Saccharomyces cerevisiae S288C: one gene and its partners. The protein of the gene in region 3 purifies or fractionates together with the protein of the main gene of each other region. This does not show direct contact. Each region holds a gene or a part of one and is shown on either strand. Other genes may lie near its edges. The genes, in order: RBG1, SRO9, TIF4631 and DBP2.

Evidence for each region.
Region 1: the proteins of TIF4631 (region 3) and RBG1 purify together in Saccharomyces cerevisiae (affinity purification with mass spectrometry, with the first as the bait; 3 studies listed by BioGRID). This does not show direct contact.
Region 2: the proteins of TIF4631 (region 3) and SRO9 purify together in Saccharomyces cerevisiae (affinity purification with western blotting; 4 studies listed by BioGRID, with this or other methods). This does not show direct contact.
Region 4: the proteins of TIF4631 (region 3) and DBP2 purify together in Saccharomyces cerevisiae (affinity purification with mass spectrometry; 3 studies listed by BioGRID, with this or other methods). This does not show direct contact.

Annotation. Positions count from the first base shown.
Region 1 is NC_001133.9:73,764-77,949, reverse strand, and holds RBG1 (GTP-binding protein RBG1), read left to right. Parts: upstream 1-1,797; coding exon 1,798-2,907; downstream 2,908-4,186. Other genes in the region: FUN12 (translation initiation factor eIF5B), read right to left, coding at 1-1,523; YAL037W (uncharacterized protein), read right to left, coding at 3,127-3,930. UniProt on the Saccharomyces cerevisiae protein: Involved in ribosomal function.
Region 2 is NC_001135.5:54,156-61,763, forward strand, and holds SRO9 (Sro9p), read right to left. Parts: upstream 4,524-7,608; coding exon 3,219-4,523; downstream 1-3,218. Other genes in the region: glucose-induced degradation complex subunit GID7, read left to right, coding at 1-727; ATG22 (Atg22p), read right to left, coding at 786-2,372; GFD2 (Gfd2p), read left to right, coding at 4,871-6,571; dithiol glutaredoxin GRX1, read right to left, coding at 6,686-7,018; LSB5 (Lsb5p), read left to right, coding at 7,503-7,608. UniProt on the Saccharomyces cerevisiae protein: May overlap in function with tropomyosin and may be involved in organization of actin filaments. Acts as a multicopy suppressor of RHO3 mutation. RNA-binding protein which may modulate mRNA translation.
Region 3 is NC_001139.9:818,580-827,417, reverse strand, and holds TIF4631 (translation initiation factor eIF4G), read right to left. Parts: upstream 3,360-8,838; coding exon 501-3,359; downstream 1-500. Other genes in the region: YGR161C-C (gag protein), read left to right, coding at 4,403-5,725. UniProt on the Saccharomyces cerevisiae protein: Component of the eIF4F complex, which interacts with the mRNA cap structure and serves as an initial point of assembly for the translation apparatus.
Region 4 is NC_001146.8:409,854-418,459, reverse strand, and holds DBP2 (DEAD-box ATP-dependent RNA helicase DBP2), read right to left. Parts: upstream 4,822-8,606; coding exon 3,549-4,821; intron 2,547-3,548; coding exon 2,179-2,546; downstream 1-2,178. Other genes in the region: rRNA-binding ribosome biosynthesis protein NOP15, read left to right, coding at 1-634; CYB5 (Cyb5p), read left to right, coding at 1,158-1,520; DNA-directed RNA polymerase core subunit RPC19, read right to left, coding at 5,261-5,689; YNL115C (uncharacterized protein), read left to right, coding at 6,407-8,341; ubiquitin-conjugating protein DMA2, read right to left, coding at 8,551-8,606. UniProt on the Saccharomyces cerevisiae protein: ATP-dependent RNA helicase involved nonsense-mediated mRNA decay and ribosome biogenesis through rRNA processing. Associates directly with chromatin, correlating with transcriptional activity.

The DNA of each region.
Region 1 (4,186 bases), on a different chromosome or scaffold from region 3:
TCCAAACCATGCATAATGTCAATAACCAAAATTGCGATGTTACACAATGAAGAACCTCTTGAACGTAAGTTAGAGAAGGATTCGTGACCTGGGGTATCAATAACCAAAAGACCTGGGACATCAAAAGTTTGTTTTTCATATTCAGCCATAACTTTAGTTTTTGCCTTAATAGCGTCGATGGGGAAATAAGTGGCACCAATCTGTTGGGTGATGCCACCAGCTTCACCACCTTGAACGTTGGTTTGTCTGATTTTGTCTAACAATTTAGTCTTACCGGTATCGACATGACCCAAAATACAACAAATTGGGGAACGAAGATCTTTTTTGTTTGGAGAAGCGCTGGATGGAGTTGGAGTAGCTGCTGGTGTAGCTGCTGGTGTGCTTTTGGCAACTTCATGCACATGTGCTCTTTCTTCTTCTTCTTCTTCTTCTTCTTCTCCTTCTTCTTCTTCTTCGCCTTGATTTTGGTCTTCATTTTCATGGCTTGCGGTGGATTCTTGCGTTTCTTCGTTGGTTCCCTCCTCGTCATCATCACCAAGAGCCAAATTTTCCCAATCATCAATCAAAACATCTTCGGATTCTTTGAGTTCGTCATCAGGTACAACTTCCGAGTCTTTCTTAGAGTCAGATTTAATGGCTTCGGAGGCGTTTTCCTGGGTTGTTCTCTTCTTCTTCTTGCTGTAAACAACCTTCTTTGGTTTGTTTTCTTCTCCATCCTTCTTGGCCAGACCGGCAACTTTGACGTTACCGGAAGACAATAAAGCGGCACGTCTTCTTTCCAATAATTTCTTTTCTTCTTTTTGCTTTCTGGTCAATAGCTTACCTTCAGCCTTTCGTTTTTCACGCTTTGCCTTCTCCTTTTCCTTTTTAGCTGCTTTAGCTTCTTCCTTCATTTTTTCTTCGTTGGCCAATCTTTCCTCCTCTTCTTTCTCCAATCTTTCTTCTTCCTCTCTTTCCAACTTTTCTTGTTCTTCAAGTTGTTTCTTCAATTCTAATTGACGTCTCAAAGCAGCCAAACCGGCAGGTACTTTCTTGGCTGGCTTCTTAGCACTAGCACTTGGTTTATCACTTTCACCTTTAGATTTTTGGGATTTCTCAGCAGCAGCCTTCTCAGCAGCAGCTTTTTCAACATTTTGCTTGTTCAACTCCTTGTTCTTCTCCTTTTGAGCTTGCTGTTGGGCCTTCTTCCTGGCAGCTTGTTCTTTCTTCTTCTGCTTCTCCTTTTCCTTTTTTTCCTTCTCCTTTTCCTTCTTGGACTTTAGTATAGGCTTACCATCCTTCTTCTCTTCAATAACCTTCTTTTCTTGCTTCTTCTTCGATTGCTTCAAAGTAGACATGAAGTCGCCTTCAATGGCCTCAGCACCTTCAGCACTTGCACTTGCTTCTCTGGAAGTGTCATCTGCACCTGCGCTGCTTTCTGGATTTGGAGTTGGCGTGGCACTGATTTCTTCGTTCTGGGCGGCGTCTTCTTCGAATTCCTCATCCCAGTAGTTCTGTTGGTTCTTTTTACTCTTTTTCGCCATCTTTCACTTATCTGATGTTCCTGATTGCCCTTCTTATCCCCTCAAAGTTCACCTTTGCCACTTATTCTAGTGCAAGATCTCTTGCTTTCAATGGGCTTAAAGCTTGAAAAATTTTTTCACATCACAAGCGACGAGGGCCCGTTTTTTTCATCGATGAGCTATAAGAGTTTTCCACTTTTAAGATGGGATATTACGGTGTGATGAGGGCGCAATGATAGGAAGTGTTTGAAGCTAGATGCAGTAGGTGCAAGCGTAGAGTTGTTGATTGAGCAAAATGTCTACTACAGTTGAAAAAATCAAAGCTATCGAAGATGAAATGGCCCGTACCCAAAAGAACAAGGCCACATCTTTCCATTTGGGTCAACTGAAGGCCAAGCTGGCCAAACTGAGAAGAGAATTGTTGACCAGTGCTTCATCCGGCAGCGGTGGTGGTGCTGGTATTGGTTTTGATGTGGCTAGAACTGGTGTGGCCAGTGTGGGGTTTGTCGGGTTCCCGTCGGTGGGGAAATCTACATTACTGTCCAAGTTGACTGGTACTGAGTCTGAAGCAGCTGAGTACGAGTTTACCACCCTGGTTACCGTCCCCGGTGTCATTCGTTATAAAGGTGCCAAGATCCAAATGTTGGATTTACCTGGTATTATCGATGGTGCTAAGGATGGTAGAGGTAGAGGTAAGCAAGTTATTGCCGTGGCAAGAACCTGTAACCTGTTATTTATCATCCTAGATGTGAACAAACCCTTGCATCATAAGCAAATCATTGAGAAGGAACTGGAAGGTGTGGGGATTCGTCTGAATAAAACTCCGCCAGATATCTTGATCAAAAAAAAAGAGAAAGGTGGTATTTCCATCACAAACACAGTCCCATTGACCCATCTGGGGAATGACGAAATCAGAGCCGTTATGAGCGAGTACAGAATAAATAGCGCTGAGATTGCCTTCAGGTGTGATGCCACTGTGGATGATTTGATTGATGTTTTGGAAGCTTCGTCAAGAAGATACATGCCTGCCATCTATGTGTTAAACAAGATTGATTCTCTGTCAATAGAGGAATTGGAATTACTTTACCGAATTCCTAATGCCGTGCCTATTTCGTCTGGTCAAGATTGGAACTTGGACGAGCTGTTGCAAGTCATGTGGGATAGACTAAATCTAGTCCGTATTTACACTAAACCAAAGGGCCAAATACCAGATTTTACCGACCCTGTGGTGCTAAGATCAGACCGTTGCAGTGTCAAGGATTTTTGTAACCAAATTCATAAATCTTTAGTGGACGACTTTAGAAATGCTCTGGTTTACGGTAGCAGTGTCAAACATCAACCTCAATACGTGGGGTTGAGTCACATTTTGGAAGACGAAGATGTTGTTACCATCTTGAAAAAGTGATTCTCGAACAAAAAATAATATAAGAAATGAAAAAAAAAAAAAATAATTCATAATTGAATATACAAGCATTTGTATTCGAAAAGGGGGTATCGGTTATTTTTTTTCGCTGTTTTTCTTCCACCGTTTGAGTATAGAGCATCTATAACATTTAATTATCTCTACATAATGAATAAAAAAAACAGTCGTAATAATTAAAAATGTTATGCTACCGAGGGCTCTTCAAAAGCGACCTCGCTTTGTGGTACCCATAAGCATTCTGTTATCGATCGTAGAGTTTTCTGGTAAATTGACACATCTCCTCTTGACTGAGCTCGTCTGCCTACGTTTTAGAATTTCCTGGGTTTGGCCAAACTCCCACAGTTCTTTATCATTCAGAATATCGAACTCATCGGATGTACTGATGGATATGTTCAGGGTTGCTTTCATATATTGCAAAGAATCCTGGATGGTCACTAGTGGATAGTAGGTCATCACCCTGGAAATAAGAAATTTGAGAAGTGCGCAATCATAGGAATGTGATGATATAACCAAGATATTTCCAAAATGACTAAATGACTTAAAGAGTGCCAACAGATCGTTGAATGCCTGGTACTGTACCAAGGGCTCACCACTGAGGACATTCGAATTACAAAACTGGGGCAGTGATTGGATTGTATCGGTTTGTGCCTGTGTTAAAGATGTTTTTATCTTTTTGCCCATCTGCAAGTACTGTCCAACGAATTTCTGTAGTAGTATTGTATTGTTTCGTATATACAAATCAATTGCGGCCTTCTTTGTTGCTACTGCTGCTGTAGTTGGTGAGCAAAGATTCACGACTACCGAATTAGAGTTCCTGAAATACTGGGTATAAAACGACGCTATCTTTTCAGTACTTAGATTGACACCAATGATGAACTTAATATTTTCATATTGCAAAAGAATAGGTTGTGTCAATATCTCACAGGGTCCAAAATAAACATTGGTATCCAGTTTTTGTAACTTCAGGTCATCTATGGGGCTTGAATCTTCGATTTCCATATCCATAGCAGTGTTATTTCCTTTGCTTTTTGCGTAATTATTGGCACTATGTCACTGATTATATAAGCCACTTCAGTTTTCTTCCCATCTAATTAATTTTTCTTCGAAACACATTCTGTAAATAAGGGATTATGTTATGAAAAGAATACGTACTAGATGGCTAGAAGAATAGGACGGAGTAGCACTTATCGTTTCTGATAAGAGGATCAATCCTTTGAAATCTTGAAACGCGAATAAATTTAGGACACTAATTGAATCTGCC
Region 2 (7,608 bases), on a different chromosome or scaffold from region 3:
GTTGGGCCACGATGAAAACATCTCTGGGAGAAAATCAATCGATCCTGCAAAAGTCCTTTACAAACCAACAAGTAGCAATGGTAACTGGCAATATGTGGAGGACGACGAAACCTTTCCACGTGTGCACGACGTGAAAATCAGCTATGACGATAAATACGTGCTTTTAATGACCCACCAGGGCGTTATAGATGTCTACGATTTCAGTGGGTTCCCCTCCAAAGAGGAGCTATCTAAGCAAACAGTGGATCCCAAAAACTTTCTGATTCCAAGGATCGCAAGATTGGACGTGGGCAAAAACATGACTTGTATCTCATTACCGCTAAATACCACGCATCAAGGCTTCCATAGGCAACAAATATCCGAGTCTCAACATTTGGTATTAGTTAGCCTTCAAGATAACGAATTACAAATGTGGGACTATAAAGAAAATATTCTCATACAAAAGTACTTTGGACAGAAGCAACAGCACTTTATTATCAGATCTTGCTTCGCCTACGGTAATAAGCTTGTCATGAGCGGATCAGAAGATGGTAAAATTTACATTTGGGATAGAATTAGAGGTAACCTAGTATCTGTTTTATCCGGTCATTCCACGGTAATGAGTAATTCCACAAAACCCATGGGGAAAAATTGTAACGTAGTTGCATCAAACCCTGCAGATAAAGAAATGTTTGCTTCTGGCGGTGATGACGGTAAGATAAAAATCTGGAAAATTTCAAGAAATTAATACTCCACCTTATATATATACGTAAGCAAAGTTTTATGTAACAAAAAAAAAAAAAGAACTAATCCAACCTTCTTTCACTTTCAGGTAAAACTTGACTGAGTTCTTCAGCCTCTCTTCTACCTCTCTTGACATCCAAACAGTTTAGCACAGGCAATGATAGCATCAAAAGCAAAAAGAAGAAATAAAACGAATAGCGAATATTATGCGTTTTATCGGTAAGCAGTCCAACAAGGAAGGGTCCCAGGATGGACGACCCCTTATCTGTGATACTGAACATACTAAAAAACGTGGATTCTTTTCCTGGAGGTACAATCAAACTGAAAACTGATCTTGAAACCGCGGACAGGCCACCTAGTGATAATCCATACCAAATGGCCAATAAGAACATTTCAAACTTATGCTTTAAACCGAACGCATTGAAGAAAAATCCAAGAATACCATAAAATGGTATGAAACTTGCCCAAATGATAATGTACATCAAAGTTTGACTAGAAGTCCACCGAAACTTTGTGGCAAGAAATTGTGGAATCATAAAGGCACCCAGCATTGCATTTACAACGGTCAAAACACTTATCATGATTAAATTGAGGGTACTCATGTGCAGTTCTGCCTTGGAGAACAAAACCGCTGTAGAATTTATAGTTGTAATGGAATCACTAATAATAAACCACGCAATAAGAAAAATCATCACATCTTTCAATAGTCTGGCATGTTTAAACGATTCGAAAAGCGAAACCCAACCATATGAAAGGTAATTCTTCCAGTTTAGTTGACCCAAGGCGTCTTGCTCACCGGGATACGGACTGCGGGCGGATGCTAATGTAGAATCGTCAACTCTTATCGGTATTGTCACATCGTCAATCAACCAGATCATGGGCAGTTGCCACACAAACCACCAAATCCCAACGAAAAGAACAGCCACTTGAACATCCTGCTTACTGCCCTTTTTAGATGCGACTAAGAACATAGATACAATCTGAACAATGAGGGCACTTGAATAACCTAAAGATGCACCTCTACCGCTAATAACAGTAGTTAACGAGTCTACCTTATCAGGTTCATAAGCTCCTTGACTTTGACATTTCAAAGAATCCTTGACAAAAATGGGCAGAAGAGAATTCCCAACAACATTGATAACGCCAAAACAACCATTGGCCACTATATAAAGCCCAGCCAGAGAATAAATCTGGGTATCATTCAATTTTGAAATCGCAACAGTCGACAATGCGCCCACAATACCAAACCAAACCAGAATTCTGCCTTTGAATTTAACGCTCCCCCAGAGATCTACTATCCCTGAAACGGAAATGACTATTATAGTTTGGAATAAAACGCTAAGGGAAAAGACATATAATGCAAAACTTGAAGTATCTACGAAGATCCGATTGTTGAACAAACCAAGAACACACTTATCTGAATCACTACCCGTTTCTGACAGGCAGGGTATGGAGTGATCGTGAACTTTTACACCATTTATACTCGCAAATTGCTGCAGTAGTAAGGGAATATACGTTGAAACCGCAGAAACGACAAATGGTTCGCTAGAAAATGAGTAAGCGTACCATCCCTTGATATTGTTTTGGGCTTTTTTTATTCGATAGTTCGTTACCGATTCATTCATATCATTTATAGTTCCATAGCTCATATCTAATGTAGAGAATATGTTATGAGCAAACTATTGCTTATAAGGGCAAAAACCGTGGTAATATAGGTACAGTTTGAAATCTTTCCTTTTGTTTACACTACGCATCTTTCAATAGCTGAGGTATTTTCGTTTAGGAAAATACCGTTTTAAGGAATTAATTTTAGCAATTTCCTAAAATTGTTGAGCGGCGCTATCAATGCCGCACAATACAACAATTAATAATCTAAGACACGTTGCATTATACATGACAGAAGCTAAAGCATGGTCTTAGATGACAATAAAAAGGAATTTGACAGCACAAAAGAGAAAAAAAAAACTATACATAAAATTTTTTACATATGAATTGCTTAGAGTAAAATAGGCATTTTTCATATCTTCTTCCCAATTATTAAATTAGCAAAAAATTGAATAAAAAAAGCAGGTGGTTTAAGAATTGCGCAGGGAGAAGAAAGAATATCATATCTCATGATGGTAGCCACTTAGACAGAGAGAAAACGAAGTGAGAAGAGGCTAGTATTTTTATATCTTAAAAAAAAAAAAAAACAAAAAAAAAAAAACATAAATATTTGTATCTTATTGCTTATGATGATAATGTACAATGAATTCAAAACATGAAAATTGTTCAAAGTTTTTATTTTTATTTTCTCTTTCGTATTAAACTGATGGAACAAATGAAAAAAATGGATAAAAAAACAAAAAAAAAAAAAAAAACAAAAAAAAAACAGCTTTGCTGGAGGATGATTAACTTTTAATTTTTTTAATTATTAGGTTTTTCAATTTTTTATGGTTTTTTGTGTAAAATGCAATGAACGAATCCATTTTTTATTTTGCAAGTGTGAGAGGCCTTTATAAGGAAGACTCGGATTCACCGGCAGCAACCGGCGCAGAGTCTTCTTTGGTTTCTTGTTCTTGAGAAGCGAGTTCAGTGGATGATTCCTCTTCTTGTTGAGGAACAGGTGGTAGGGATATCATGAATTGGTCCAATGCATCGCCGACCAGTTCTTTTTCAATATTAATTTCAGTTTCAAAAGTTTCTGGTAACCAGTTTGACCAGCTCTTGGAACGAACGAAGTACTTATCCAATGGAGATGGTTCTTTGGCTTCACCGGTAACGTTATCACCTTCCTTGGCGGCCAAAGTACCTTCTGCAACATTGACGGTAGCGGCTTCGTTAGCGACAATTTCTCTCAATGCGGCTAAAATCAGGTTAGTGTCACCTCCGAAGGACATGTTAACAACTCTGTAAAACTTAGAGATTAAAGACAATGGAGCAAAACCATCCTTGGAGAGTTTGGACCTTAAGTAATTGTCGACGGTCAAGTTTTCTTCGCTGAAATAGTATTCAATTTGTCTAGCAATGTTGTTGATGGCCATTAACACTGGTTGGACTGGATAAAACTGTTGCTGTAATTTGACCATAGGTTGTTGAGGATGTTGTTGGTTGTGATGGAAGTGGTTGTGGTATTTAGAGCGGTTGTTGTTGTTATTACGAGCGTTGCGTCCTTGGTAAGGTTTAAACTGTGGTGGGAAGCCTTGGTTCTGAGGCATACCGGCGTTATTACTGTTGTGGAACTTTCTCCTTTGAGGACCATTGCTGTTATGGTGATGACTGTGGTGATGATTACGGTGGTGAGGTGGTTGTTGCTGTTGTGTAGATTGACCATTTTCTTGAGAGGTAGCGTCTTTTGAATCTTCCTCACCTACTGCCGATTCAAAGCCATCTTTCTTCATTTGTTGTTGCTTCTTAGCATTATGTTGGTGATGCTTCTTTTTCCTGTTAGCATTACTCGACGATGTCGACGATGCTGCAGTTTTGTTGTTTTTGCTCTTGTTGCTGTTGCCATTACTTGCACCATTCTTGGAACCGGATCTTTTGGTGCCAGAGACGGTAATGGAGGCCTTGATGGGAACCCACTTGGTAGCAGTCGATGATTTCGGAGTGGGTGTTCTGTTCTTCTTCTTTCTTGTGGCATCCAAGTCTTCTATTGAGATAGTAGAAACAGGGATCTCAGTAGGAGCAAGTTTCCATGGGGAAGATGTGGGCAATGGTGCCGGCGTCAAGTTGACTTGCTTGCTCTTGGAGCTCTCTTGTTCTTGCACTTCTGGGACTGGGGCAGTAGCAGTGTTTGCGGCGGCGGTTTCAGCAGACATCGTGGGCAGAGAAGTGAAAAGAAGATGAAACACGTTAGCAGGTCCAGAGTAATCCTGATGTTCTATTACCGATCTAGGATCCCAAAAGATCTTCATAAAACCGAAAAAGATGTTAAGAAATGTTTACACTTGTACTTTTCTTTCTTTGTTCTTGACCTACCAGAAGTGAAAAAAATTTTTCATTGCGTGGGTACATCCGTGCACCATTTCTGAAAAATTTGCGATGAGCATCCCTCAAAATCCGTATTATCCGCTAGTGTTTTGAGGTTCAACAAGACAACATATAAGAAGGGAAGAAGGAAAGGAGGCAATGAGAACTTGGGTCTTGCTCGAGAGTCCAGATCCACATGCAGGTTCAAAAAATGGTGAGAGATAACAGTAATAACGGTAGCGATAAAAGCGTCCATTGGGAGAGGAGGAATAATAACGGCGCAGGCCCCCGTTATCGTTCCAGAAGCGGTAATACCGGTGCTTTGGCAACAAAACTAAGTAATGGGACGCTCTCTGTCAGAGGATTAGTGAAGGACCGAACAGGAAGCGGCAAGATCGCGGGCTGTGTGGAGGCGTTTCTGGATGCCAGGACCCAATTGAATACGCCCTGGGACCGTGCTAAGTGCAATTGGCTGGACCAGATAGATTACTATGTACAGTTGAGAAAGACCGCGTTTTCTAAGGAATTGGACCAACTAAGGAAGCCCATGATCGATGCATATGTGGCGGAGATGAGGCAGAAGTTTGATGCCTCCTATGGACAATCCAGGGCGCAATTGGAAGCCAAACTGGCGCAGGTGGACAGTGAATGGCATATGGTACATGGTGATGTGCATGCAAAACTGGAAAAACTCGTGGAAGAACGCCGGTTTTTGAAAAGATTAAGCGACACGATCGTACCACCCAGGTCCAAAAGATCACAGCGGCTGTCTCCATTGACCAAAGAGGACCGAGCCAACTGTATCTGTCCGCAGCCCAAAGGAATGAGCGACACCGCTTGGTTCGAAGCCATTCAGAAGAAAATGTTAGGAATGAATGGTACCATCAAGCTCCTAGAGACAGAACAGAAACTACTGGCTGACGAGAAAAACAGCGTGAGGAAGACGTTCTGGCCCATGGTGGAAGCACATTCACGCTCGAATGAATTTGCTTATCTGGAGAAATGCATCAGGCTGATGGCCTCTCAGAGAGCAATATGCTTTTGTCTTGATATAGAGGCTTTCGAAACAAACCAGAACGTAATCACCGAAATTGGGATTTCAATTTATGACCCCAGGGAAAATATGGTGCCGTCAATGGTTCCAATTACAAAGAATTACCACCTAATTATCGAGGAGTCCCTGGAACTTAGAAACCAAAAATGGGTCTGTGACTACAAGGATTGCTACTTATTGGGAGAAAGCTATGTTTTGAGCTTGAAAGAGTGCGTGCATTTCATTCAATCACTAATAAACTATTACTTGGTCCCGGTGACCGAAGAAGACAAGACATGGTCAAGGGCATTTGTTGGTCATCACGTGAGCGGGGATCTTAAGTGGCTGGAGACTATTGGTGTCAAATTCCCTGGCAGAGGGTATGAAGGCCATCTGGACCATACGCTGCTTTTGGCTGAAACTCCCGGTGATCTAGACGTGTTCATCTTGGACACTGAGCAGTTTTACAGGAAATCGTATGGCGAAAAGGGCAGCAGTCTGGGCAAGATTCTGCGGTTGTTCGAGATACCGCATGCGTTTCTACACAATGCCGGTAACGATGCCTACTATACCCTGCATTTGTTCATGAAGTTTTGCGATGTTAATTTCAGGAAAATAAGCGGCATGGACGATGTTCTTAAAGTAATGGGCCAAGTAAAAGTTTGGGGAGAACGAGACGTACGAGAGCCTAAAGTGGTGCCCATGTCGTATGCCATCTCCATCGAGGAGGCAGTCAAAAATCGGACGTACCGCAAGGGCGTCAAGAGCAGTAGGAAGGAAAGAGTCTGCCAAACGGAATTCGGTGGGTTAACGTATTTCGGAACTGCTAAAGACGCCTTCACAAGCACTCTTCCGACACACTAAATATATTCATCGATTTTTTTCCTGTAAATACAAACACATGCTTGTATACATATACATATACATATATATAAGCTCATTATAAACCTGTGTGCATGGAAAAAACTTTGTCTGCCCTTAATTTGCAAGAATAGGTTCTAACAATTCCTCCAATTCACCAGTCTCCCTCAATTCCTGCAAGTCGTCGTTGCCTCCAATATGTTTACCATTAATATAGATGTTTGGCACGGTTCTTTGGCCATTAATCTCATATAACGCAGCCTGAATGTCTGCGCCTTCCTTCATGTCATTCAATTGCAAAACCAGAACTTTGGACCTGGGAACCTTTAACTTTTCAAAAAGCGTGTTTAGGGCTGCATGGCAGTATGGACAGTACGTTTTGGATGCGACGAAGATCTCGTTTTCTGCAATAAGGTCCTTGACGTGCTTGATAGTTTCTTGAGATACCATTTTTTTTCCTTCTGAGGTTTTGTCTATTTGTATAATTATGCGAATGCTCGTATAAGTACTGCACGAAGTTCTTTATTTTATGCTAAAGTCCCTTTTTATATTATATAAACTTTTCATTTATTTTATATATTTACTCCTTTCAAGACAAAATTCCCACATCACGTGAATCAGGAGGCGCAAGGGGGGTAGTAAGGCAGTAGTAGATAAAGAAAACAAGCATCGCAATCTGGAAACGCCGTTGCGGCTGCTCGTTATCTGTAGACAGCTCACTTGTGCATGAAGTTCATGTTTTATAGATGATGGAGCCATACTTCAAGGTGATAACTATGAAACTGTTTTGACCTTGACGTGTAAAGTGATCAAGGTAATAGTTAAACTTTATATATGTTGTTTATCAATGTGGTATCCTTTCTAAGGATGAAGACAACACGATTGTGACAGTGTGAGAGAGTGATAAAGCATTGGAGGCAGGCAAAACAAGAACATGGGGTTTCTTTCGGATCATCCGCATACAGCTATCACCGAGACGATCTTTCGAATTGTCTCTTCAAGGGACTATACGCTAGAAGTGGAGTTAGCTCCCTTGATTC
Region 3 (8,838 bases):
CGGTCCTTTCCTTTCGTGGCCTCTGTAAAAAAAAGGACAAATGGTGAAGCAGTAGCATGATTAAATCGAAATATGAAGTTAAAGCCGTCAGCTAATAAATGATATAAATATACAAAACTATACATATGCTGAGTGGTCTATTATATAAAACATATCGTAAACGAAGACTGGCGAAGCTATAAATAAAAATACAGAAAGGCATTGACATATAGAACAAGATAGGAAAAAAAAGCACAGTAAGAGGATTACCCATTAAAATGCATCAAACTTGTTTATAGCTTTTAGTGAAAAGAAATGAGCCCATTAATCGAGAAAATATAACAATGGTAAATTAGGGACACTTTTTTTTTCTTCTCCATGCATATATTTTCAATTAATAGCGCAGGATTAAACGTAAGATTAAATTTGTGTTGTACTATTAATTTATTATTTTATTAGACTTTCTACCAACATCCTTGTATCCAAGTGACATTTTCGATACTTAACATGATCTATTCATGTTACTCTTCGTCATCACTTTCTCCCATTAATGCACTGAACATATTTGTTGCGGTAGAAGTTGGTGCAGCTGGTTCTTCCTTTGGAGGAGGAGCCCTTTGGCTATTTCTTTGAGAATATGTTCTGGTTGTGATAAAGCTATCTTTTGATGCAGGAGGAGCGTCCCTTCTGAAAGAGTGTCTATTACTGGAGTTGTTCGTACGTCTTGAATTAGATCTTGAATTATTCTTCAATTGACGTTGTCTCTCCTCTTCCTCATGAATCTGTTGAATGGTCTTAGGACCGTTGTCCTTCTTATCACTGTTCCAGTTCTTGTCGTGCCTTAATTCTTTAATGTCGATCAACTTGAACTTGATTCTACTAGAAATCTTAGCAGTTTGAATAATATTGTCTAAAATACCGAACAAACTATCGAGCAATTGCGAACCCTCCAATGTTGCTTGACCCGTTCTGAAACTATCGGTCTCAAATTGTTCACCAACAGTATTTAACAATTCAACAACGGACTCTAGAGTTTCTTCAGATGGAGAATCCGTCAAATCCTTCATTAGTCTACGGAAACATTCGAACATCATCTTTCCAGTCAACAGATTCAGACGGTATAGGAAACCGATGAAACGAACCAAACCTAAACCTCTTCTCTTAGCAGAAGCAGCTGCATAGTACTCTTCTGACATCATCTCAGGTTCTAATGGAGTACCATCTTCGTTTGTGGGTAATTTATCGGTCCAACCCTTGTCAAATTCGGCATGACATCTAGCAACCAAGTAATGCAAAACCAATTTTGGACCTGTCTTACCTTCATTAGTTTCATCTGTTATATCTGGGTTTAATTCTTTAACTACTTTACCACATAATTGCGCGTACATAGAAGACCAATGGGGTTCGTCACAGGCCTTTAAGAAAATCTGTTCTATCACAGCCTTTAACGTTTCACCATTTGTTTCCCATACTGATATGTTTGCAATAGCCAAAATTTCAGATGAAATAGCATCGAACATTTCCAAAGTAAGTTTATTCAGTAGTGACTTCATCTTTCTTTCAACTTCATCCTTGTCCAATAGTTCGGTCTTTCCGTCAGGGGCTAGCTTCTTTTCAGTCTTTTTAGACTTGAATTTTGGCACCCACCTATTAGCACTTGGAACAAGTGGAGCAACTTCTTCCTTTGGTTTATCGTCCTCTCTTTTCTCTTCATTTCTGTAGGAGCCTCTCTCGCGGTCTCTTCTTGATGTATAAGATCTATTAGATCTCCTGTCGTCATTCATTCTCTTTGATCTTCTCTTTGATGAAGTTCTTGAATTAGCTCTGTCATCCATATTTCTCACTGAGGTATTTCTAAAGTCATGGCCACGACTAGAATTATTGCCGAATCTGCCAGAATCTCTAGATCTATTTCCTCTGCCCATTCCTGGTGGAATGACAATTTTAGAAGCAGTGCTTTGGACCCATTCGGCGTCCGCTTTGACGTTTAGTTTGTCCTTAAATTGAAGCAAGAAAGTTGGGCCATATGTATATTTGACGTGTTCTTTCTTGTATTTGATATCAGGACCTTCAATACCTTCTGGATAGTTAAAAGAAAAGACATCTTCAATTGGTGTAGCATCTTTCAATACATTCAATATGTGAGAAACGGTGTTTGTACCATCATCAGTTTCATCAGTTGTAGTTTCGATTTCAGCTTCAAGTCCAATCTTTGTTCCAGCATCACCTGCTTCAGCCTCAACTTCAGCTTCAGCTTCATCAGATTTAGTAGGGATAGCCGGAGTTGTTGCAGATTCATCAATGTTTGACTGTTCGGTTTCGGCGACCTCAGTTTCTTCTTTAACCTGTTCACTGGGAGGCACAGGAGCAGACTCGATGGCGCTCTTAGTCTCTTCCTGTACTGGCACTTCCTTGTTTTCCTTCCCCTCCGTTTTTTCTTCTCGTTCTTTTTGTTGTTTCTTCAACTTCAAACGTTCAGCAAAGGTTAACACCTTTGGAGTGGATTCTTCCTTTATTTGGCCCTTTTCTCCTTGTTCACCTTCTTCAGCTGGAGTTTCTTGCTTAACTTCTGGCTCAGCAGATTTTTCTTCAGCAGGCTTGGTTTTTTCGGTTACCTCAGGTTTGTCCGATCCCTTCTCTTCCACATTTTCTGGGGTAGTCTTCATTGGAATATTATTGTTGCCACTAGAACCTTCAAGTTGCTCCTTTCTCTTCTTTTCTAAAGCAGCTTTACGAAGTTTAACTTGCTCGATGAAATTTCTTCTTGTCTTTTCAGCTTCAGATATATTTTCTTCAGAACTGGCCTTAGAGTCATTAGTGGAAGGGGTAGGAGTTGGAGTAGAAGTAGAAGTAGAATCAGAAGTTTCTTTTAACTTTGACTCTGGTTGCGGAGACACAGTAGATCTTTCCTGAGACTGTAGCTTGGCTTTATGCTGTTCTTTCAAATCTAAGTGTTCACCAGACTTGGTAGTGATTTCTATCTTAGTTGGAACAGGTGACTTCTCTTCGACAGGAATTGGATTAGCAGGGGCACTACCAGCGGCCGCCATTTGCTGGGGCTGGTAGTAAACGGGGTAGTTATTATAGTAACCAGTCCATGGCACGTTTGAGCTGTTGGCTCCCATGTGTCCACCTCTGAAACTACCGCCACCATTATAGTTGCCACGGTTGTTATATCTGTTTGGTCCAAATTTACCACCTCTTTGCTGATGAGGTCTGTTGCTGTTGTAAGGCTTCTTTTGGGTATAGTTGCTACCATTGTTGTAGTTGGTGTAGCCACGTTGTTGCTGAGATTCCTGCTGGTCATCGCCTGTCTGTTTCAGAGCAGCAGATTCCTGCTTTGAAGCAGATTGTGTCGGGTGAGCAGTTTCGTCTGTCATTATTGTAATAGGTAATTACAGTTGTCCTCTTACCTTGCTTATTTATGAGCAAGAAGGAGTAAAGTAAGAAGCTTTAAGAAATTGAAGGGAAGAGGAAGAATCATAATTAAGTAAATTATCACAATATCAAGATTGGTAAAATTTCAAGCAACATATTGAAATTCCATCTACCATCCATCCGTTGCACACAGAGAACGCGGCATCGAAAATTTTTCTTGAAAAAAAAACTTTTGTCAGTGAAACAGTACGAGAAAAAAAAAAAATAAAAAAAAAGCTATAATTGAAAAAGGACGCACAAAAATACGGTGAAAAAGAAAAAAAAAATCGTTTCTCACGTCGTTATCGAGTCGCGATGAGGATAGCGCCCATCATATGATCATCCCATTACGATGGAAGTCTGCCATCATGATGTCCAAGAGGGTCCTTAAAGCTATTAGTAAGTAAAAAAAAACTGTTGTTCCAGAGATATTGAAAAAAGCCTTATTAATGTAATCTTCAAAAAATGATTTCGCCCAGGATCGAACTGGGGACGTTCTGCGTGTTAAGCAGATGCCATAACCGACTAGACCACGAAACCACTCTTATTGGAAGATTGATCCAATTAAAGGGGAATAGGTCACATGAAACGACGACAACTATGCTGGTTATTACCTAGAGGGATAATTGCAAGCTAGATCTTGAAACGAACAGAGGAAAAAAGCTAAAGTAGTAACAACAACCAATATATGTATATATGAAGAGAATGTGGATTTTGTTGGAATAAAAATCCACTATCGTCTATCAACTAATAGTTATATTATCAATATATTATCATATACGGTGTTAAGATGATGACATAAGTTATGAGAAGCTGTCATCGAAGTTAGAGGAAGCTGAAGTGCAAGGATTGATAATGTAATAGGATAATGAAACATATAAAACGGAATGAGGAATAATCGTAATATTAGTATGTAGAAATATAGATTCCATTTTGAGGATTCCTATATCCTCGAGGAGAACTTCTAGTATATTCTGTATACCTAATATTATAGCCTTTATCAACAATGGAATCCCAACAATTATCTAATTACCCACATATATCTCATGGTAGCGCCTGTGCTTCGGTTACTTCTAAGGAAGTCCACACAAATCAAGATCCGTTAGACGTTTCAGCTTCCAAAATTCAAGAATATGATAAGGCTTCCACTAAGGCTAACTCTCAACAGACAACAACACCTGCTTCATCAGCTGTTCCAGAGAACCCCCATCATGCCTCTCCTCAACCTGCTTCAGTACCACCTCCACAGAATGGGCCGTACCCACAGCAGTGCATGATGACCCAAAACCAAGCCAATCCATCTGGTTGGTCATTTTACGGACACCCATCTATGATTCCGTATACACCTTATCAAATGTCGCCTATGTACTTTCCACCTGGGCCACAATCACAGTTTCCGCAGTATCCATCATCAGTTGGAACGCCTCTGAGCACTCCATCACCTGAGTCAGGTAATACATTTACTGATTCATCCTCAGCGGACTCTGATATGACATCCACTAAAAAATATGTCAGACCACCACCAATGTTAACCTCACCTAATGACTTTCCAAATTGGGTTAAAACATACATCAAATTTTTACAAAACTCGAATCTCGGTGGTATTATTCCGACAGTAAACGGAAAACCCGTACGTCAGATCACTGATGATGAACTCACCTTCTTGTATAACACTTTTCAAATATTTGCTCCCTCTCAATTCCTACCTACCTGGGTCAAAGACATCCTATCCGTTGATTATACGGATATCATGAAAATTCTTTCCAAAAGTATTGAAAAAATGCAATCTGATACCCAAGAGGCAAACGACATTGTGACCCTGGCAAATTTGCAATATAATGGCAGTACACCTGCAGATGCATTTGAAACAAAAGTCACAAACATTATCGACAGACTGAACAATAATGGCATTCATATCAATAACAAGGTCGCATGCCAATTAATTATGAGAGGTCTATCTGGCGAATATAAATTTTTACGCTACACACGTCATCGACATCTAAATATGACAGTCGCTGAACTGTTCTTAGATATCCATGCTATTTATGAAGAACAACAGGGATCGAGAAACAGCAAACCTAATTACAGGAGAAATCCGAGTGATGAGAAGAATGATTCTCGCAGCTATACGAATACAACCAAACCCAAAGTTATAGCTCGGAATCCTCAAAAAACAAATAATTCGAAATCGAAAACAGCCAGGGCTCACAATGTATCCACATCTAATAACTCTCCCAGCACGGACAACGATTCCATCAGTAAATCAACTACTGAACCGATTCAATTGAACAATAAGCACGACCTTCATCTTAGGCCAGAAACTTACTGAATCTACAGTAAATCATACTAATCATTCTGATGATGAACTCCCTGGACACCTCCTTCTCGATTCAGGAGCATCACGAACCCTTATAAGATCTGCTCATCACATACACTCAGCATCATCTAATCCTGACATAAACGTAGTTGATGCTCAAAAAAGAAATATACCAATTAACGCTATTGGTGACCTACAATTTCACTTCCAGGACAACACCAAAACATCAATAAAGGTATTGCACACTCCTAACATAGCCTATGACTTACTCAGTTTGAATGAATTGGCTGCAGTAGATATCACAGCATGCTTTACCAAAAACGTCTTAGAACGGTCTGACGGCACTGTACTTGCACCTATCGTGAAATATGGAGACTTTTACTGGGTATCTAAAAAGTACTTGCTTCCATCAAATATCTCCGTACCCACCATCAATAATGTCCATACAAGTGAAAGTACACGCAAATATCCTTATCCTTTCATTCATCGAATGCTTGCGCATGCCAATGCACAGACAATTCGATACTCACTTAAAAATAACACCATCACGTATTTTAACGAATCAGATGTCGACTGGTCTAGTGCTATTGACTATCAATGTCCTGATTGTTTAATCGGCAAAAGCACCAAACACAGACATATCAAAGGTTCACGACTAAAATACCAAAATTCATACGAACCCTTTCAATACCTACATACTGACATATTTGGTCCAGTTCACAACCTACCAAAAAGTGCACCATCCTATTTCATCTCATTTACTGATGAGACAACAAAATTCCGTTGGGTTTATCCATTACACGACCGTCGCGAGGACTCTATCCTCGATGTTTTTACTACGATACTAGCTTTTATTAAAAACCAGTTTCAGGCCAGTGTCTTAGTTATACAAATGGACCGTGGTTCTGAGTATACTAACAGAACTCTCCATAAATTCCTTGAAAAAAATGGTATAACTCCATGCTATACAACCACAGCGGATTCCCGAGCACATGGAGTCGCTGAACGGCTGAACCGTACCTTATTAGATGACTGCCGTACTCAACTGCAATGTAGTGGTTTACCGAACCATTTATGGTTCTCTGCAATCGAATTTTCTACTATTGTGAGAAATTCACTAGCTTCACCTAAAAGCAAAAAATCTGCAAGACAACATGCTGGCTTGGCAGGACTTGATATCAGTACTTTGTTACCTTTCGGTCAACCTGTTATCGTCAATGATCACAACCCTAACTCCAAAATACATCCTCGTGGCATCCCAGGCTACGCTCTACATCCGTCTCGAAACTCTTATGGATATATCATCTATCTTCCATCCTTAAAGAAGACAGTAGATACAACTAACTATGTTATTCTTCAGGGCAAGGAATCCAGATTAGATCAATTCAATTACGACGCACTCACTTTCGATGAAGACTTAAACCGTTTAACTGCTTCATATCATTCGTTCATTGCGTCAAATGAGATCCAAGAATCCAATGATCTTAACATAGAATCTGACCATGACTTCCAATCCGACATTGAACTACATCCTGAGCAACCGAGAAATGTCCTTTCAAAAGCTGTGAGTCCAACCGATTCCACACCTCCGTCAACTCATACTGAAGATTCGAAACGTGTTTCTAAAACCAATATTCGCGCACCCAGAGAAGTTGACCCCAACATATCTGAATCTAATATTCTTCCATCAAAGAAGAGATCTAGCACCCCCCAAATTTCCAATATCGAGAGTACCGGTTCGGGTGGTATGCATAAATTAAATGTTCCTTTACTTGCTCCCATGTCCCAATCTAACACACATGAGTCGTCGTACGCCAGTAAATCTAAAGATTTCAGACACTCAGACTCGTACAGTGACAATGAGACTAATCATACAAACGTACCAATATCCAGTACGGGTGGTACCAATAATAAAACTGTTCCGCAGACAAGCGAACAGGAGACTGAGAAAAGGATTATACACCGTTCACCTTCGATCGATACTTCCTCATCAGAAAGTAATTCACTACACCACGTCGTTCCTATCAAAACGTCAGATACCTGTCCTAAGGAGAATACAGAGGAATCTATAATTGCTGATCTTCCACTTCCCGATCTGCCTCCAGAACCTCCTACCGAATTATCAGACTCCTTTAAAGAACTTCCACCGATCAATTCTCGTCAAACTAATTCCAGTTTGGGTGGTATTGGTGACTCTAATGCCTATACTACTATCAACAGTAAGAAAAGATCATTAGAAGATAATGAAACTGAAATTAAGGTATCACGAGACACATGGAATACTAAGAATATGCGTAGTTTAGAACCTCCGAGATCGAAGAAACGAATTCACCTGATTGCAGCTGTAAAAGCAGTAAAATCAATCAAACCAATACGGACAACCTTAAGATACGATGAGGCAATCACCTATAATAAAGATATTAAAGAAAAGGAAAAATATATCGAAGCATACCACAAAGAAGTCAACCAACTATTGAAAATGAATACTTGGGACACTGACAAATATTATGACAGAAAAGAAATAGACCCTAAAAGAGTAATAAATTCAATGTTTATCTTCAACAGGAAACGTGACGGTACTCATAAAGCTAGATTTGTTGCAAGAGGTGATATTCAGCATCCTGACACTTACGACTCAGGCATGCAATCCAATACCGTACATCACTATGCATTAATGACATCCCTGTCACTTGCATTAGACAATAACTACTATATTACACAATTAGACATATCTTCGGCATATTTGTATGCAGACATCAAAGAAGAATTATACATAAGACCTCCACCACATTTAGGAATGAATGATAAGTTGATACGTTTGAAGAAATCACTTTATGGATTGAAACAAAGTGGAGCGAACTGGTACGAAACTATCAAATCATACCTGATAAAACAGTGTGGTATGGAAGAAGTTCGTGGATGGTCATGCGTATTTAAGAATAGTCAAGTAACAATTTGCTTATTCGTTGATGATATGATATTGTTCAGCAAGGACTTAAATTCGAATAAAAGAATTATAGCAAAACTCAAGATGCAATACGATACCAAGATTATAAATCTAGGTGAAAGCGATGATGAAATTCAATACGACATCCTTGGCTTAGAAATCAAATATCAAAGAGGTA
Region 4 (8,606 bases), on a different chromosome or scaffold from region 3:
CAAGGAAACAGTAACCAAACAACCCACCGAAGAAAAACCTATACAGGAGAAAGAAGAGTTGGCTCTAGAAACATCGTCTAGCAGTTCAGATGAAGAAGACGAAAAAGATGAAGATGAAATTGAAGGTTTAGCCGCTTCTGATGATGAGCAGAGCGGTACACACAAGATTAAAAGATTGAATCCTAAGAAGCAGGCTAATGAAAAAAAGTCGAAAGATAAAAAGACACTTGAAGAGTATTCTGGGATTATTTATGTGAGTAGACTGCCACATGGGTTCCACGAAAAGGAATTAAGTAAATATTTTGCTCAATTCGGTGATTTAAAAGAAGTGAGATTAGCACGTAATAAGAAAACTGGAAATTCCAGACATTATGGCTTCTTAGAATTCGTTAATAAAGAGGATGCAATGATCGCCCAAGAATCTATGAACAATTACTTGTTGATGGGTCATCTACTACAAGTGCGTGTATTACCAAAAGGAGCTAAAATCGAGAAATTGTACAAATACAAGAAGAGAGTTCTAGTAGAGAAAGGTATCACCAAACCAGTAAAACAGCTAAAGGATAACATGAAGCAAAAACATGAAGAAAGGATAAAAAAATTAGCCAAGTCAGGTATCGAATTCAAATGGTGACTTGTCACTTCTCATCCACCCTGAGAAAAGGGTTTTGTAAGATAGAATAGGAGATATAGCAAACTTGGGAAACCATTTATATCATTAATTCCAGCAATATAGTTCCGTTTGTCCGTATTCAATGATATTTACATGATTGCTTTTACGAAGATTCAACGACCAAAATCACGGAGCGGGTAATAGCCTGGAGTTTCCGGATGAAAAATTTAACGGCCCAGAAAAAGAACAATAGCTGCAAAAAAGAAAGCTATACGAGATCGAGATAGTGAGAGAGGTTAGCATAACGAGAAAATTTTTGTCGCATTCGTGGCCAAAAAGCGATATTTGAGAAGCATTGTTATTATATCAATAAATAACAAATATATATATTGTCCTTTTTCCAATAACTATATAAAGAACAAGAAGCTTTTGAAACTTTCTCAAAAATTTTCGTTCAGGCTTCCTCGTTAATATTTAAATTCGATTTTCATTTTCTTCATAGTAAAGAAAATCAATCAACTACAACATAAAATATCAAACAATCATGCCTAAAGTTTACAGTTACCAAGAAGTTGCCGAACACAATGGCCCAGAAAATTTCTGGATTATCATCGATGACAAAGTTTACGATGTTTCTCAATTCAAAGATGAACATCCAGGTGGTGATGAAATTATAATGGATTTGGGTGGACAAGATGCTACAGAAAGCTTTGTCGATATCGGTCATTCTGACGAAGCATTGAGACTACTGAAAGGTTTATACATTGGTGACGTTGACAAGACCAGTGAGCGCGTTTCTGTGGAAAAGGTATCTACCTCTGAAAACCAAAGTAAAGGTAGTGGTACATTGGTTGTCATATTGGCCATTTTAATGCTAGGTGTTGCTTATTATTTGTTGAACGAATAATTTTTCTTCCAGAATAGCCCACACTCTTCTCCAAACTCAATTGAATTTTTCGTTTCAGTTTATTAAATTATTTATTTACAAGCAATCAAGGCCAAATTAATGTCTTACAACATTAACTTATGCTACTATATCGCATAGAAGTATGTCACTGTATCATAGAATCTGCCTGGCAGATAGAATTATTATAAATTAATATGTATATACTTATCTTTGTGTATGGCTAAAAATCATCGTCTTAGATAAAAAAAAAAAAGGCAAATAAAGCTCTGCTCTTACTTCAATACGATCAACCTGGTTGTCGTGCATTTCGCTCATTCTAAAATGACCCATAAGCGCTAGTGCACGACTTCTTTGTAAGTCTACTGTTTTTTTGAAAATCATTCGTTTAACATCGGCCCCAGGGTTGTACGAGAACAAAGAAAAGTGTCTGTCCTATTATTTTACGGCACACTAAGCGTTATGCGAAATAACTTCAATCCAGTTGCCACCGTTCACCCAAAAACTTAGGAGTATTAAAGAAAAAGTGTGACGAAGAGCTTTAAAATATTAAAAATGTAGTATACAGCAAATAAAATTTTATCATGCATTGAAGAAATAAGGTGCAGTCAACTTATATAATTATTATTAATAGAGATGAATGAATTGAATCACTTTGACTTCAATAGTTTGAACGACCTCTGTTACCCCAGCCACCATCTCTCTGCCTGTTACCGCCGTAACCACCACGGCCACCACCGTAACCACCTCTACGGCCATAGCCACCACGACCACCACGACCACCACCGTATCTTGGGTGACCGCCACCATAAGATCTCCTGTCGTATTTCAATAATTCGGGAGGAATATTTTGATTAGCTTCTCTCATGATAGAGATTAATTTAGCACCTAAACCTTTGTTTTGTTCGGTGAAGAAAGATATAGCAGTACCAGTAGCACCTGCTCTACCAGTTCTACCGATTCTGTGAACATAATCTTCAATGTTACCTGGCATATCGTAGTTGATAACGTAATTGATACCTTTGACATCTGAAAAAATAAAGAAGTAAACAAACGTTTACAAAGCATACTGTTAGTAATTTGGTTCGTTATTCTGTATATGAACTTTATTTTCATGCCCCCCACAAATTCATGTTTGGACTCCCAACATTGTCTCAAATTTCCCCCTGGCTTGAAGATTATCAGAAATTATATTTTTATTAAAGAATTCGAAATATTTAATCATCAATACTCCAGAATCCTTATTCAAACTGAATGAAAGCTAGCACTTAAAAAAAGGAAAACAAAGTAAATGATTTCTGAATATGGTTGAAATCCTTTTATTTTGTTATTTTCCATTTTTATCAGCACTTCTTAATAATTCGAACTTGGGATGCAACAGTATCTCAATATAACTACAAAATGCATAAACTACACAAAATGAGAATAACAATAGTCAAGAAGGATGACGGCATTTCAAAGTAGAATATACTATTATTTTTCCAATAAAACAATCTACCCTTGTACAAATGCCAAGCATTGAAAAAAACAACGATCAACGAAGCGTATGTATGCGTTCTAGAAATAAGCTGAAAAGCCAATTCCTTGTTTATTTGCGCCGATGTCAAAAAGCGAAATTTCTTTTGACATGAAGTGCAAATCATGAACACAAATACACTTCTCCGAGTTTATAATTTCCCGTCTCTCAAAACGACTAATTAAAGTCAATTTTTCTCATCCTCCCAATATTAGTTTTCTGTAGTGATGCATTAGAAGTCATTCGAATTAAAATTCAATTTCCGATACTCCCCATCGAGAATAGACTCACATAGAGTCTAGATTCGAAAAGGCTCAAAAAAAAAAAAAAGAAAAAAAGAAAAAAAAAAAAAAAAGAAAAAAAAAAAAAAAAGAAAAAAGGTCTCTCTTCTGTACTATCATGGTTGTCATAAAGTCATTAATGTCATTAAAAGCCATTAGGAAATAGCTGTAATATCGTTAGGGGTAACAAAAAAAAATAAAATCAATAAAAAAATGGAGAAAATTTTAACATACCGATACCTCTGGCGGCCACATCAGTAGCAACCATAATTGGGGATCTACCGTTTCTAAACTCTTGTAGAACCCAGTCACGTTCTCTTTGGTCTTTGTCACCATGAATAGCCAAGGCGGGCCATCCATCTTCTCTTAGATACTTGGTGATATCATCGCACATTCTTTTCGTAGAAGCAAAGATTAATGTCTTGTATTCGTTGTCTTGAGAGGCTGTTTCTAAGTACTTGTTCAAACGATCTCTCTTTTCGAAATCAGAAACAACTTCGACGATCTGAGTAATATTATGGGAGGCAGATAGTTCTAGAGAACCAACTTGAACTTGAATTGGATCATTCAAGTAATCAGCGGCTAGTTGCTTCACCTCCTTTGGCCAAGTGGCAGACCACATCAAGGTTTGTCTATCAGGTCTGATTTGATCAACAATCTTTCTGATTTGAGGTTCAAAACCCATATCTAACATTCTATCAGCTTCATCAAGAACCAGGTAAGTGACTCTCTTCAAATTAGTCTTACCAATCTCTAGCATATCAATTAGTCGACCTGGAGTAGCAATAACAATTTCAGAGCCACGAGATAAATCTCTGATTTGTTGACTTTTTGGAACACCACCGTAGACACAGGTATTTCTGATTCTGGAACTATGACCAAACTTGGAACATTCTGTTTGAATTTGAACAGCCAATTCTCTAGTTGGAGCCAAAACCAAAACAATTGGTCCATCGCCTGGAGCCAATAATGGTTGAGCGTTGATATGAACAATACCTGGTAAACAATAAGACAAAGTCTTACCGGAACCAGTGGCAGCAATACCAACCATGTCCCTACCAGATAAAGCCATTGGCCAACCCTGACATTGAATGCCAGTTGGTTTGTCAAATCCTTCAGCCTTCACTTCATTCAAAACGTAGTCTGGGAAACCAGCTTCATCGAAAGTGGTGATTGGCTTTGGAATATCGTGTCCGGAAATAGTCATTTCATTTTCCTTTCTGAACTGAGCAATCTCACTGTCCGATCTGTCGCGAACACTTTCGTGTTCAACATAGAAATTCTTTTCGAAAGTTGGCAATTTGGGTAATTCTTCATCCCAGTTTGGTTTGATCAATTCCTGGGGTTGGTTGTAATTGGAACGACCACCGAAACCACCACGGTAGTTACCGCCTTGTGGTCTGTCATTGTAAGAGTTTCTATCAGAGTTTCTTCCACCGCGGAAGTCGCCACCTCTAGACTTGTAGTTAGTCTTGTTATATTGCTGATCTCTACCACCGTAAGTCATATTTGCTCTAAATTTGCCTTAATAGTGCTTAATTCTGTTACAGGTTGTTGACAAGAAAATAATTTGAATGAGATACAGAAAAGTATAAGTTATTTGAGCGTAGGACAGTCTTTTTATAAGACAAATAAACTGAAGGAAAAATTTTCTGCGATGAGCATCGGCGTAAAAAAAAAAAAAAAAAAAAAAAAAAGAAATAAAAAAAGAAATAAATTTTTCAATCATTCAATACGGAATACGCCTTTAAAAAGGAATTTCGAATTCTCAACATTATTAGCACCTTGTACGAAGGTGTATTTTTATCTGGTTATATTATACATAGATTTTAAATAGCACGACTATAAACGGGATACACAAATCAAGCTGTATCTATACTAGCGTGGTGTGCATAATTATTAGAAATTTCAGAGTGACAGAGGGTCTTTGAGTCGATCCGTAACATCTACATGCTCTTGATTTTTTCAGTAAACTTAGATTCTACAACGTCACATAAATCCATCAAGTCCTTTAGCCCTTTTTGAAGAGCATCCACCGCGGTCGTTTCACCGTAGGTTTGAATTCTGATATTTAATAGGTTTTCAGAAGGATGAGGTATCGAGTAACCACAAAATTCTACGTCTGGATTTTTCATTATAACGTAACGAAGGGCATTTCCAAGCGTGTGATCCTCCTCTACAATTTGAAAAGAGGCACTAGTTCCATCTTCAGATGTTGCCTGTGTGAGAAGCTTAATTTTTTCCCTGTCTGGTTCCTCTTCCTGTTCTTCATCGCCAGTCATATCAACATCCTGTTCTTCTTCTTCTTGGATGTGCTTTGGTTCTTGTGGTGTTACCTCTGTAGCGGTCTTTTTTTGTTCGATGTCTTCAGTCATTTGCCTGGTACTTTATGTGAAGTTCAATTTTTCCGACTTTGGATTGATGGCCTTTCCCCAATTCGTTACTTTATACCTCAGCATTAGTATGGTTTTCTTTTGAAATTTTTTTTTTTTCCAGCTCATCGCAGGTGAATATTTCTATCACTTGTTACGTTTACCATTACCCGGATTGAAGTAAATATGATTCACCCCAATAAAGCTGTACAGAAGAGATAAGATGTAGCTTTATTAGAACAAAGTTTATCACGTTGTTGGTACTTAGAATAATCTATGATATTGTTGCGTCTTTTTGAATAAGCTTTCTTGCGTGCCGTTTTTTTCGGTTTTTTTTTATATTTCTGCCCAAAAAACGTAGTTCAAAGAAAAGGAACTATCCCAAAATAGAAGCAAGTTATGTTTAAGGAATTAAAAAATGTACCTATAAAGCACGTTTTTCTGATATGTATATGCCTATGTAATGTAGAAGTTGTCGAATCAGCAATCGTATTGGTCAACCTTGATGGCATGTTCTCAGCACGTTTTGAAGTGGCTATGCATATATAGTGTTCTTTAATCTATTCCTTGCAAGGCTATTCGGACCCCTAATTTTAACCATCGTGCAGTTTAAAGGGATGAGAGAAAAACTAAAAGTTAGATGCCTTGCTATATTCTATAAGGAGGAAAGGAAAGGAAAGCCATTGAAGAAAGAACTGTAGGCATCAGAGCGAACAGATCATGAAGGCTAATGGTTTAGATAATGATCCGGCAAGGACGGGAATGGAAAGAACAGATATAGATAGTGAACACCCAGAAGCGCAACCGTTGCTGAACAACAACCACCGGACCCTTGGTGCAGGATCCGCGAATGGCCCAGCAGTTAATGAAGGTCGTGACATTGAATCCGATGGGTTCATCAAAGATAGTCTCTTTCAAATTCGCAAAGGTTATAGAATCTTTATTCATAACTCCAAATGGATATTAAATATCCTAATTCTAATTAACACCATCTGGCTAGTCACCACTTTGATTTCAGATTTCTTTTTCAATATCAATATTCTTTTCGGATTCAGTAACAGGTACGCAAGTTTTAACGACTTGACTTTAATATTCATCTCGATCATAGCTAATTCTTTCAATCTCTGGTTTAATAAGCTGGGACTGTACTCAGCTTTAGATTACAGCTTAAATGTAACTCTCTGTGTTTTGACGTTGTTCAATCTAGCATTGACCTATCTAATTAAATACACTAGGCAAAGAATCGGCTTTGTGGGCACGTTTACATATTTGTGGACTTCGTTTTCATTTTTTATTGGGGCAATATTAGATTGGTATCTCTTGTTTTACAACAACTCAATAAATGAGCCATTGGAGGAACGCAGAATTGATGATGCTAATATTAGTACTTTCAACGAAAACCATACAAATAGTACCGAAAACAGGGACAGAAGCCAATATGGCTCTGGGTCGCCAACCCCCACCCACCGCTCGCAGCTGGTCCAAAACAAACATACATTGACAGAATGGGTATCCATTGGGTTCAGGAATACTATTAAGTTTTTAATTTTAATATTCTTCGCTTTATTCACCCTGAATACACTTTTAACGACATTGGATACCTACAGATTGACTCACAAATTACCAATAACCGTTCAGTCGCCCTCGTACGAGGCGTTCCATTACGTAGATGCCGCTAAAACCTATCAGTTGCATATAACTTGTTATGGTGACGTATTTGATCAAGAAAACAACACAGATTTGTCTGAAAATAAGAAGCAACCTATCATCTTGTTTGAACACGGAGGTTATGATACTGGTTACCTTTCTGCCACCTGGATTGAGGAACTATATCATTTAGACAAAATTCAAAGATATTGTCTATACGATAGACCAGGGTACGGGTTGAGCGATTCTCCTCCCGCCCCAATCTCTATTGCGATGGTTGCGGAATCTTTAAGGTACGCATTGATCAAAGATGCAAAAATTAAAGGTCCCTTCACTACAGTAGGATACGACCTTGGCGGGCTATTTACAAGAGTATTTACCGCCAAGAATGTCGATATTGTGGATAGCATGATGCTTGTTGAATCATGGCATGAAGAACTATTGTTAAAAAACTACATTCAAAGATTACTACCTCCAGGCCGTGGTGATGGCGACGATGGCGACGATGGCAATGGTAATGATGGGGATGGCCGCAACCATGATAAGACTTGGTTACCTTCGGAGATAGAAAGGCATAACGAATTTAGATTATGGTGGAAAGGCATTTGGTCGAGTTTAGGATGGAGATTACAGACTTCATGGTTACTAGCTCATCATGGGTCTAAAGAACGTATATATGGGCGTGATATGAAATATCAAGGACGTTTCTTGCGTTCCAAGTTTTTGGAAAGCGTGACGAGTTCAATTCTAAGTTACAGAGATGTGACAAACAATGCAGAATCTTTGCAAAATGTGAAGACAAGCATCGTTAGCTCTAAGGAAATGGTGAAGAAGTCGGCATTATGGGGCGATTGGCAAAGAGATTTGACCAAAATTTCTCACAAGACTCAAGAATGGAAAATAGTTGAAGGTGGGCATGAAATATATAAGTATGGTCTGGGCAAACAACAAACTCAAGAAGTCCTATTAAGATTAATAGGTGAGCTTGGCAAACTAACCGAGGATTAACCGAGTTCTTTACTTTTTTTTTAGTTTTATATGTGAAAGCAAAATTGACTGCCAACGATGGAGGTATTGTATTCCTGAAAACAATAAGTCAAATATGTAAACGGCGCAAATATATAAATACTAAGAGAATAATTAAAATAATATTAAGGTACGAGATGTGGAGTTCGGTGGTTTTTCTTTATTTTTCAAACTGTGTATTTTCTTTGACCTTAAGGATGGCTATCAACATCCTTTGAAGTTTCCATTAAGACGCTAAGTTGATCCA